Sus scrofa: one gene and its partners. The protein of the gene in region 1 purifies or fractionates together with the protein of each later gene. This does not show direct contact. Links are inferred from orthologs where the notes say so. Each region holds a gene or a part of one and is shown in the gene's direction. Other genes may lie near its edges.

Region 1 (3,650 bases):
AATTGGACCCCTAGCCTGGGAACCTCCATGTGCCGCAGGTGTGGCTCTTAAAAAAAAAAAAACTTTACAGTTTTAAAAATAAGGTCACCAAATATGCTTATAAATCTTAAAAAAATAATTATTTTTGAGAACTAAAGAATAACCCAGAGGCGTTCCCATCGAGGCTCAGTGGTAACGAATCCAGTTGGTATCCATGAGGATGCGGGTTCTATCCCCGGCCTTGCTCAGTGGGTTAGGGATCCGGGGTTGCTGTAGAACTTCTGTGTGCTACAGGTGCGGCCCTAAAAAGTAAAAAGCAAAACAAAAAAACAACTCACAGCTATAGATTAAGTCAGTGTCATGGTTATTTAATGCCAGCTGCTACAGTTTATGGTAATGAGGTATTTAAAGATGTAACTTGTCAAATTCGTCGTTATTCTGTGACTGTGCTCAAATGTCATAGAGACTTGAGTGTCATGTCGTTGCTGTGATATTTTAATTTGGTTTGATTGTGTGAATATTTGCCATTGATACTGAGAGATTAACATGTACTTTGGGGTCATATGGCGAGGAGTTGGGCAAGGGGAATGAAAAGCGGCTCATTTTTCAAATTATGCAGGTCACGTTTTGTCCACGTTGCCATGTGCATGGTCTTTATGACGTCAGATGGCTTTTGTTTTATTTCTCATTTATCCACTCAGCTTTTCAGTGGACTGGGGTTAAAACCCGGGAGAACCTCAGGCGTATCAGGTTGAGGATTATGAGCTGCGAATGATGATCTGTCGCATGCGTTCGTGTAGGCTCCTTCACTCACTCGTTGAGCAGACAGCTACTGAGGACTTGATAGCGTCAGTGATTCACACGTTAGATACGGCGCCCTGCCGGGGAACGATGCCCACCAGACGGACCTTGGGGATGCAGGTGCTTTGACGTCTAGCCTAGAGCCAGGAGGAGTATAGAGCCTGGGCTTCCCCCAGACGGTCAGGGTTTGAGCCGAGTCTGAATACCTAAGGTCCACGCTTCCCAGGCAGGGAGAGGCAGGCATGCAGAAGGGGGCAGCTGCAGCAGCCTCCCTGGGGACTGCATGCGTACAGGCACAAGGTGAGGGCGTTTGTCCAGTATTTATTCACTCCGCTGTGTGCCAGCGCCAACCGGGTGCTAGGCTTACATCGCATCCAGCTGCACTCTGCGGCGTCACGTTTTCACGGGCGAGAGGCAGGCAGCAGAGAACTAAATGGATGAGATGGTTTGGGGTAGGTAGTGATGCTTTCAGAGGAAGAAACGACTCGTGATGTGCTGTGTGCCTTGACCGGGGGGAGGGGTCCCTGAGGTCAGGGATGTGCCGTTAGTGGGGGCGGGGGTGGGCAGAGGGCCCTGCGGGGAGAGGGAGAGCATCGGCGTCTGGGACAGCGAGGTCACAGGGCCCGGAAGGTGGACCTCGAAACAGGAGGGTGCGGTTCAGGGTGATGGCAAGGCCCCCGGTCTGCATGTGGAGGGGCTGGGATGTGGGTTGAAGAGTGGGAAGGCTCTGCTGAAGGCTCTCGATGTGTCGCTGTCAGCGTGACGTGGTTGGAGTCAGGGCTGGGTTTACACCTGGGCTCCTCCAGAACGTGGCAGTCGTCAAACAGCCTTTGGAGAACCCAGCTTGCTCATCTTCAGAATGTGCGTGTGTCACCTACCACGTCGGGGTCCTACAGGCGTTGACTGAGCTGAAGCCTGGGAAGGAAGTCAGCACCGTCCCCCCCAGCCCCCCAGCCATGAGAGTTTAATACATTCTGGTTTAAAAATTTTTTTGTTCATTTGTACCTGCGGCATGTGGAAATTCCCGGGCCGGGGATTGAACCCACACTTCGGCAGCCACCCAGGCTGCTGCAGTGATGATGCGGGATCCTTAACCTGCTGGGCCACTGGGGAGCTCCTCTGGTTATTCGTGTTTTTGCATGGGGGCCAGTTAATCGTGGTAAGTCTGGGAATGAGGCATAGTCATGTTCATGATCGAAAGATCCTTCTCCTAGAACAGGGTGGGTGATGGATTGGTTGGCGTGAGACACGTCGTAAGTGTTTCTAATAAGCTAACTTTGGTCCCCAGGTTTTGGGAAAGGATCACCCTGATGTGGCCAAGCAGCTGAATAACCTGGCCCTACTGTGCCAGAACCAGGGCAAGTATGAAGAAGTGGAGTATTACTATCAAAGAGCCCTCGAGATCTACCAGACCAAGCTGGGGCCTGATGACCCCAATGTGGCCAAGACGAAAAACAACCTGGTAGGTTGCCCGAGGCAGCTCTGGCCATAGAGCCGCGGGCTTTCCTCCTGGGGCTCTGCCTCCCCTCTCACCTGCGGGCAAGAATGTAGGCGTTCGCGTCACTCACACAAGAGAATGGTAAGCGTTTTGTTTTGTTTCAAGGCGTCCTGCTACCTGAAGCAAGGAAAATTCAAGCAAGCAGAAACACTGTACAAAGAGATTCTCACTCGGGCACATGAAAGAGAGTTTGGTTCCGTGGATGGTAAGACATACACTCCTTCCTCGAAGCAGATGCGGGTGTAGAATGCATTAGAAAGAGTGGTTTCCAGCTCGGGAATACTCAAGTCATCACCATATTTTCAAAATAGAATTCAATTTGCATTTATGTTCATTTTATTTAATGTTCTTTTTTTGTCTGCGCCTGCGGGGCCTGGGATTGAACCTGCGCCACAGCAGCAGCACCACTGGATCCTTAACCTGCAGCAGCACAAGGGCACTCCTCATTTGAATTTTAGAGCTGATTTTCTAAGTAGCGCTTAGAGGAGAGGACATGGCCCAGCCTGAGTGGCCATGGCAAACGCCCGCGCACCTGCCCGGGCAGTGCTGATCCTCAGCAGGCTGTGCCCCTGCGGCCAGGCCCGATGGGCCCCCTGCTGCGTTCTTTCCCCACTGCCTTCTCCAGAGTCCACGTGTCTGAGCGGCTTTAAGCATAGTTTAGATGCACTAACTCTGGAGAGCCTTCCTGGAGGCCTTAGTGCTTTCTAGAATTGTTCCCGAAAGACTGGCATGAACCAGCAGCGTCAGCACTACTTGGGACCTGTCGGAATGTGGATTCTCCACCCACCCGGGGCTGCTGGGTTGTTGGACCTCAAGCTCTTTAAGGCTGGTCTCCTTTGCCTTCCTTAAAGAATTGTAGGTACATAATACACGTTTTGGAAGAAATCTTTTCTAAGATTTTGGGAGTTCCCTTCGTGGCTCAGTGGTTAACGAATCCGACTAGGAACCACGAGGATGCGGGTTCAATCCCTGGCCTTGCTCAGTGGGTTAAGGATCCGGCGTTGCCGTGAGCTGTGGCGTAGGTCGCAGACACAGATTAGATCCCGTCCTAGAATAGATTTACAAGGAGATCCTGCTGAATAGCATTGAGAACTATGTCTAGATACTCATGTTGCAACAGAAGAAAGGGTGGGGGAAAAAACTGTAATTGCAATGTATACATGTAAGGATAACCTGACCCCCTTGCTGTACAGTGGGAAAATTAAAAAAAAATAAAAAAAGATTAGATCCCGTGTGGCTGTGGCTGTGGTGTAGGCCGGCGGCTGCAGCTCAGATTCAACCCCTAGCGTGGGAATCTCCATGTGCCGTAGGTGCAGCCCCTAAAAAGCAAAATAAATAAATAAAGATTGGTCAGTAGAGTGGTCTTTGTGTG
Region 2 (3,650 bases), on another chromosome or scaffold:
TCCTGGAGGGGTAAGACATGCCAAGGGGCTAGGGAAAGTCTGTGGCCTGGGAAAAGATCCTGTCTTGCAAGGTCATTACACTGTGCAGGTAGTTTAATTTGCAGATCAAAGTTCATGGGTCACTGTCCATTTGCCCCCTGCAGGGTTGTACCGAACGCTTTGTGTCCAGCCCAGAGGAGATTTTAGATGTGATTGATGAAGGGAAATCAAATCGTCATGTGGCTGTCACTAGTGAGTGGGGATATAAGGGGCTCTTGAATTTGGGGGCCTGCCTCTCCTCTGTGCCTTCTGGGGATGAGGGCCTCAAAAACAAGAAAGGGGGAGTTCCTGTTGTGGTGCAGTGGGTGAAGAATCCGACAGCAGCGGCTCCGGTCACTGCAGAGGTGCAAGTTCGATCCCCAGCCTGGGAACTTTCATATGCTGCAGGCGTGGCCAAAAAAAAAGAGCAAAGGTAGACTGTCCTCCAGAGGAGGAGGGATGCTTATCTGCTGCCTGAGAGACGTAGGGTCTGAGCTAGTCCTGGCGGATACCCTCTCTCTCAGTGGGTGGGGGCGGTGGTCAGTGGAAGCAGGGCAGGGGGGGCTGAGGGCTTCAGTTCCGCAAAGGTTGATACAGGGACTATTCCGCCCTCCCTCCTACAGACATGAATGAACACAGCTCTCGAAGCCATAGCATCTTCCTCATCAACATCAAGCAGGAGAATATGGAGACTGAGCAGAAGCTCAGCGGGAAGCTGTATCTCGTGGACCTGGCAGGGAGCGAGAAGGTTGAGGGTCCTGTGGCGGTGGGGTGGGGCAGGGAAGGAAGCCTTGGGGGTTGGCCTTTTTTTTTGGATCAAAATCACTTTCTTATTGACATAGAATTCACATGCCATAAAGTTCACCATTTTTACATTATATGTACAATTCCATGTACAATTCAGTGGTTTTGGTATGTTTGCATGGTTGTGCAACCACCATCACTAATTCAGGAATGTTTTCATCCCCTGTTAACAATAGGGGATGCCCTATTTTTCCCCCTCCAATCCCCTGGCCGCCATGAATCTACTTTCTGATTCTGGATTTGTCTTTTCTGGACATTTCATGTAAATGGAATCAAATCATATAATATGTGGGTGAGGGAGTGGCCCCTGGCAGGATCGTTTCCATATCCCCTCCTCTCTTTGGACTGAGCCCCCCGCCAAGAAGAGGTGCTGAGAACCCCCTCCCTCTGCTGATGCTCATGGCACACTCACCCCTTCTGTGCCCTGGTAGGTCAGCAAGACTGGAGCTGAGGGAGCCGTGCTGGACGAGGCCAAGAATATCAACAAATCGCTGTCAGCCCTGGGGAATGTGATCTCGGCACTGGCGGAGGGCACTGTGAGTGCTCCTTTGGGGGCCTCACCCCTCAAGCTCCACCCCATCCTCTGCCTTCTCCTTGGGTCCCCACTTCATCATGCCCGATGCTTGGATTGCTCCATCCCTAGTTAGCACTACCATCCTTTCTGATGACCTTGTTGAATTTATTTTTCTGATTCATGGCTTCCTCTTCTCCCCAGAAAAGCTACGTTCCATATCGCGACAGCAAAATGACACGAATTCTCCAGGACTCCTTGGGAGGAAACTGCCGTACAACTATGTTCATCTGCTGCTCACCGTCCAGCTACAACGATGCGGAGACCAAGTCCACCCTGATGTTCGGGCAGCGGTCAGTGGCAGGGTTCCCTACTCTCTGCTCTGGCCCCTGCTGTTCCCTCTTCGGGATCTCAGCAGCCTTTTTTTTTTTGCTTTTTAGGGCTGCACCCGAGGCAAATGGGGGTTCCCAGGCTAGGGGCTGAATTGAAGCTGTAGCTGCTGGCCTGTGCCGCAGCTCACCACAATGCTGGATCCTTAACCCACCGAGCAAGGACAGGGATCGAATCTGCATCCTCATGGATGCTAGTCAGATCCATTAACCACTGAGCCACGATGGGAACTCCGGGTCTTGCCAGCCTTAATGAAGGTCTCATCTTTTTGTTCTCCTCTCCAGGGCAAAGACCATTAAGAACACTGCTTCAGTGAACCTGGAGTTGACCGCCGAGCAGTGGAAGAAGAAATATGAGAAGGAGAAGGAGAAGACAAAGGCTCAGAAAGAGACGATTGCAAAGCTGGAGGCTGAGCTGAGCCGGTGGCGCAATGGTTAGAGAGGTCCCGTGGGCACAGGGAGCCACACAGGGTTCCTGCAATCTCCAAGGAGGGCTGCAGTAGGAAGGTCATGAGAGAAAGGGGGAGGAGGCTCACTGCCTTTATCCCTCATCCCCCAAAAGGTTGATGGTCCACTTGGCAGGAGAGGTGGCAGCCTGGAGGTCTGGGGTTGAGCAGTAAGGGAGGAAGGACCGGCAGATGCAGCTTTCCTCTGTCCCAGCCCTCACCTTGCTCTGCCCCTTTGCCAGGAGAGAACGTGCCTGAGACGGAGCGCTTGGCTGGGGAGGATGCCGCGCTGGGCGCTGAGCTCTGTGAGGAGACCCCCGTGAACGACAACTCATCCATCGTGGTGCGCATCGCCCCTGAGGAGCGGCAGAAGTACGAGGAAGAGATCCGCCGCCTCTACAAGCAGCTGGATGACAAGGTGAGGGCCGTCGGGCAGGGCACAGAGGGGATTAGAGAATTGGCAAGTGAGGGATTAGAGAATTGGCTGATACTGCCTTTTTCTGATTTTAGAAGGGATGACTTTCATTATTGAAAATGTGGAAGATAAATAAAAATATGTAGAAGAATATTTAAATCATCCATCCTTCCACCATTCAGAAATAAAGCTGCACAATTGAGATTTTTACTATATGTGTAACTTTGCATCTGATGATTTTTTTTTTTTTCATTCTGCATGATATAATGAATGATTTCTTCTGCTTTTTCTTGGCTGCACCTGTGGCATGTGGAAGTTCCTGGGCCAGGGATTGAACACGCACCACAGCAGTGACCATGCTGGATCCTTAGCACATTGTGCCACAAAGGAACTCTGCTACTTCTCCTTCTTTTTTTTTTTTCTTCTGCTCTTTAGGGCTGCACGGGCGGTATAGGAATGTTCCCAGGCTAGGGGTCAAATTGGAGCTGCAGCTGCTGGCCTACACCACAGCCACAGCGGTGGGTTCATTGCCGCTGAGCCACGATGGGGACTCCCCACAAGGGAACTCCATAATGAGCAATTTCTTACTCTGTTAACAAATCTTCACAAAAGAATTTCAAAATGTCTGCCTAATAGTCCATTTATCAAAATGTATTTAATCATTTATTTATTATAGGCCTTCTAGGTTTTTTTTTTTTTTTTTTTTTTGGTTTTGTTGATTCATTTGTTTTTGCTACTATAAATAGCCCTAAAATGACTGTCTTTGTTTCTTGTGCATAAGGTTTTGCTTTTGAATGGTTTGATTAGAACAAAGTGCTAGAGTGGTATTTATTTATTTATTTATTTATTTATTTATTTATTTATTTATTTTCTTTTTAGGGTGGCACCCATGGCATATGGAGTTTCCCAGGCTAGGGGTTGAATTGGAGCTACAGCTGCCGGCCTACGCCACAGCTCACAACATCACCAGATTCTTAACGCACTGAGCGAGGCCAGGGATCGAACCTGCAACCTCATGGTTCCTGGTCAGATTCATTTCTGCTGCGCCATGACAAGAACTCCTGGAG
Region 3 (3,650 bases), on another chromosome or scaffold:
CAGCTGAGAGGGTGAAAGCTTTGGAGTCTGCACTGAAAGAAGCCAAAGAAAATGCATCTCGTGATCGCAAACGCTATCAGCAGGAAGTAGATCGTATAAAGGAAGCAGTCAGATCAAAGAATATGGCCAGAAGAGGACATTCTGCACAAATTGGTTAGTAAAGCACAATAAATAACCTTGCTTTGGTTTGAATGTTTCTCTTTGCTTGAGAATGTACTCTGATTTATTTGTTATGTGCTGCCACAGTGGTATTTGTGTTTTTTAATTTGCCAAAAAGTAACATTGTTGGGAATGAAGAGCAAACTGAGGAAGTCACCTCAAAAGGACAAGAAGAGAGATCAGAACAGCACAGCCAAGTGAGACTGGTCACAGATAGAAGAAACCATGTAGAGCAAAGTTACTCAAGCAAAGAGAGACTTGGAAGAAAATGTCATCCATAGTATTTCATACTTTAATTGTTAATCATTGATAAAGGAATAAGGATTTTCAGAAACTAAGGATTGGATAGGTCCTAGAGGAAAGGATATAACTGAGAAATAGAAAGGCAAAGAGAAAGGGGGGGCAGTTGTTTGCGAAGAAAGAGAAGAGACCTACAGAGTCATTGCAGTCGCATGTTATTTATTCTAAAGTCAGTTTTTGTTTTTCACACCAGCTAAACCTATTCGTCCTGGGCAACATCCCGCAGCTTCTCCGACTCATCCAAGTGCAATTCGTGGAGGAGGTGCATTTGTTCAGAACAGCCAGCCAGTGGCAGTACGAGGCGGGGGAGGCAAGCAGGTGTAATCTTCACAGGGCACCACAGGTTGGTGGTCTCTGGATTTTTTAATCACACCTGTCCATGGAGAGGTTCATTGGCAGTTAAACACCCTTTCGGATTCTCACTTTAGTATCATGGTTTCTTTTTAATGTGTGGGATTATAAGTAACTTTAGTTTTGTCCTGGTTCATGTCATACTATATGTATATTCAAATTTGTGTTCTTACTGTTTTTAGCCTATTGTTAGATCATTTGTTTAAGTTCTTGGTATTGTCTAATGGATATACTATGATTTATAACTACTGCCTTGTTTTATTTTGTTTCATTTTTGGCTGTGCCTACAGCATGCAGAAGTTCCCAGGCCAGGGATTGACCCACACTGCAATGCTGATAGTGCTAGATCCTTAACCCTCTGAGCCATCAGGTAACTCCCTTGTTCCTTTGTGGTTCTTTGTTTTGAACTATTGCCTTTTACTAGACTTTTAATTATGTTAATTTTCCCATACTTGAAATAGTCCAAAATTGAAATTTCCATATATGGGAGTTCCCTTGTGGTGCAGTGGGTTAAGGATTCAGCGTTGTCATTGCTGTGTTGCAGGTTCAGTCCCTGGTTCAGGAACTTTCTCATGCTGCAGGTGTAGCCAGAAAAAAGTTTCATGTTTTCCATATAGTCATTGCAAAGTCACAGTGAAACATCTTTTTATACATCCTCAACTTTGCGATTATCTCCAGATAATTCCCATAAGTGGGATTAGGAGAAAGTGAAACTTTTTTTTTTTTTTTTTTTGGTCTTTTGAGGGCCAAATCGATAGCATATGAAAGTTCCCAGGCTAGGGGTCAAATTGGAGCTGTAGCTGCTGACCTACACCACAGCCACAGCAATGTGGAATCCAAGCCAAGTCTGCAACCAACGCCACAGCTCACAGCAGTGCTGGATCCTTAACCCACTGAGTGAGGCCAGGGATCAAACCTGCATCTCCATGGATATTGATTGGGTTCGTTACCATTGAGCCATGATGGGAACTCCCGAAAGTGAACATTGTTAAGGCTCTTGACACTAACCCTCTTCAGAAGACTGCACCAAATTGCATCTTAGCCAGTGACACTGTCCTTTTTGTTGTATCTTTGCCAGTATTAAGTATTAATAGTTTTTAAGTTCCTATTTTAATAGGCCAACTATCTCATTAATTTATTAACGAATTTGGATATTTTCATGTTTATTGGCCCATTTATATACTTATATTTTTAATGAATTATTTCTGTGTCCTTTCCCATTTACCTCTGTGAGTGGTTTTTATAATTTATGAGTTCTTACTTGTTTCTTTCTAAATGCAAGTAATATTTTTACCATGTAGGGGGATAAAGAATTACCGCAAAGTAAAGTAGGAGATAAATATTATCCAGAGATACCACCCAGTATGTTGTATATATTTTCCTGGGGCTGTCTTCACATATTATAACTTTTAAATTAGAAAGCTTAAACTGTCAGTTAATATTATATTACCAAGATACTATGCTATTCTATAAATATTCTATAAAATACTACTTCGTAGCCTACTTTTTTAACTTGGCCATGTGACTGATTATAGCTGCCTGCTATTTTACTGTATGGTAGGAACTCAGATTTAATCCTTTGGGAAGCCTCAGGTGTGTAGATGGTTTGGAAACTAAAAATATTAGATAACTTTGAGATAGTTAATTGTTTTTATTTTTGACAGATACTAAAGTCATTTTATTTTAATCTTCTTTGTTTTTTACTTTGACATTTTGCATAACATTGGCTGTCAATTTGAGTAGAAAATTAAGCGATATTCTGGATTTAAAAGAGAATGATATAGTGAAAAAAGTATTGATATTGGAGTCCCGTCTGTTTGAATTTACTCTTATGAACTTGAGCAGGTTACTTTTTCAGTTAATTTCTTTCTTATTTTGACCCTTAAGCATAGGGAGTTCCCTGGCCGCCCAGCAGTTAAGGGTCGTCATTATCACTACTATGACTTGGGTTACTGCTGTGGTGTGGGTTTTGTCCTGGCCCAGGAACTTTCACATGCCAGGGCCGTGACCAAAAAAATAAAATAAAATTCTTAAGCATAAAATCAAATTACAGATTAAGTTTTTTAAAGCTGGTAGAGTTCCCATCATGGCTCAGCAGGAACAAATCTGGGACTAGCATCCATGAGAGTGTGGGTTCAATCCCTGACCTCCCTCAGTGTCTTGAAGATCCGGCAATGCTATGAGCTTTGGTGTAGGTTGCAGGTGCCGCTCAGGTCTGACGTTGCTGTAGCTGTGACATAGGCTGGCAGCTACGGCTCTCTTTGGACCCCTAGCCTGGGAACCTCCCTCTGCCATGGGTGTGACCCTAAAAAGACCAAAAAAAAAAAAAAATCATTTTTTGGGTTCTCGTAAACATTGTTATAAGACTGTATTGTAGGTAATAGGTGCTTTATTATTGTCTCTCATCAGAAGATGTTACAGTAACTTTCCTGCCAATTAGGAGAGTGCTTCTGTTTTTTCCCTCTTTGGATTGGTAACTTGTTGAGCTCCCCTTATTACTAAAATCAAAGTCATTCTTGAGAGTTATACAGTTAAGATGTCATTAACTAGTAAAGAGTGGGTGCCAAGTAGATGCAAGCTGCCTTTTCTGGAAGTGGAGGTGGGCAAAGGCATTTTCAAAGCATAAATATAAATACAGGTAAAAGTTTATCTTTTTTGGATCTTGTCCTCGCGTTACAGTTCACATGTGAACTTTAACCTCTTACCTCATTTGAGAGAGAATGGTCCATCACCTTTGTTAAATACAGCTAGGTTTTAGCTGGAAAGTAGAATGTAATGACAGCAGTTTAGCACATGAGGGAGATAGTTAACCTAGCTAGACCAGGTTGTCGAGACTTGAA

The links. Proteins that work in one complex are often made in the same cells at the same time.
Region 2: the proteins of KLC1 (region 1) and KIF5A purify together in Homo sapiens (co-immunoprecipitation; 7 studies listed by BioGRID and IntAct, counting the BioPlex papers as one, with this or other methods). This does not show direct contact. The link is inferred for Sus scrofa from reciprocal best matches to the Homo sapiens genes KLC1 and KIF5A.
Region 3: the proteins of KLC1 (region 1) and KIF5B purify together in Homo sapiens (co-immunoprecipitation; 11 studies listed by BioGRID and IntAct, counting the BioPlex papers as one, with this or other methods). This does not show direct contact. The link is inferred for Sus scrofa from reciprocal best matches to the Homo sapiens genes KLC1 and KIF5B.

The regions. Positions count from the first base shown.
Region 1 is NW_018084979.1:2,191,245-2,194,894, forward strand, and holds part of KLC1 (kinesin light chain 1), read left to right. Parts: intron 1-2,068; coding exon 2,069-2,242; intron 2,243-2,383; coding exon 2,384-2,483; intron 2,484-3,650. UniProt on the Homo sapiens protein: Kinesin is a microtubule-associated force-producing protein that may play a role in organelle transport. The light chain may function in coupling of cargo to the heavy chain or in the modulation of its ATPase activity.
Region 2 is NC_010447.5:22,833,748-22,837,397, forward strand, and holds part of KIF5A (kinesin heavy chain), read left to right. Parts: intron 1-143; coding exon 144-231; intron 232-641; coding exon 642-766; intron 767-1,253; coding exon 1,254-1,358; intron 1,359-1,537; coding exon 1,538-1,686; intron 1,687-2,007; coding exon 2,008-2,156; intron 2,157-2,410; coding exon 2,411-2,586; intron 2,587-3,650. UniProt on the Homo sapiens protein: Microtubule-dependent motor required for slow axonal transport of neurofilament proteins (NFH, NFM and NFL). Can induce formation of neurite-like membrane protrusions in non-neuronal cells in a ZFYVE27-dependent manner.
Region 3 is NC_010452.4:42,641,515-42,645,164, reverse strand, and holds part of KIF5B (kinesin-1 heavy chain), read left to right. Parts: coding exon 1-153; intron 154-652; coding exon 653-783; 3' UTR 784-802; intron 803-3,650. UniProt on the Homo sapiens protein: Microtubule-dependent motor required for normal distribution of mitochondria and lysosomes. Can induce formation of neurite-like membrane protrusions in non-neuronal cells in a ZFYVE27-dependent manner.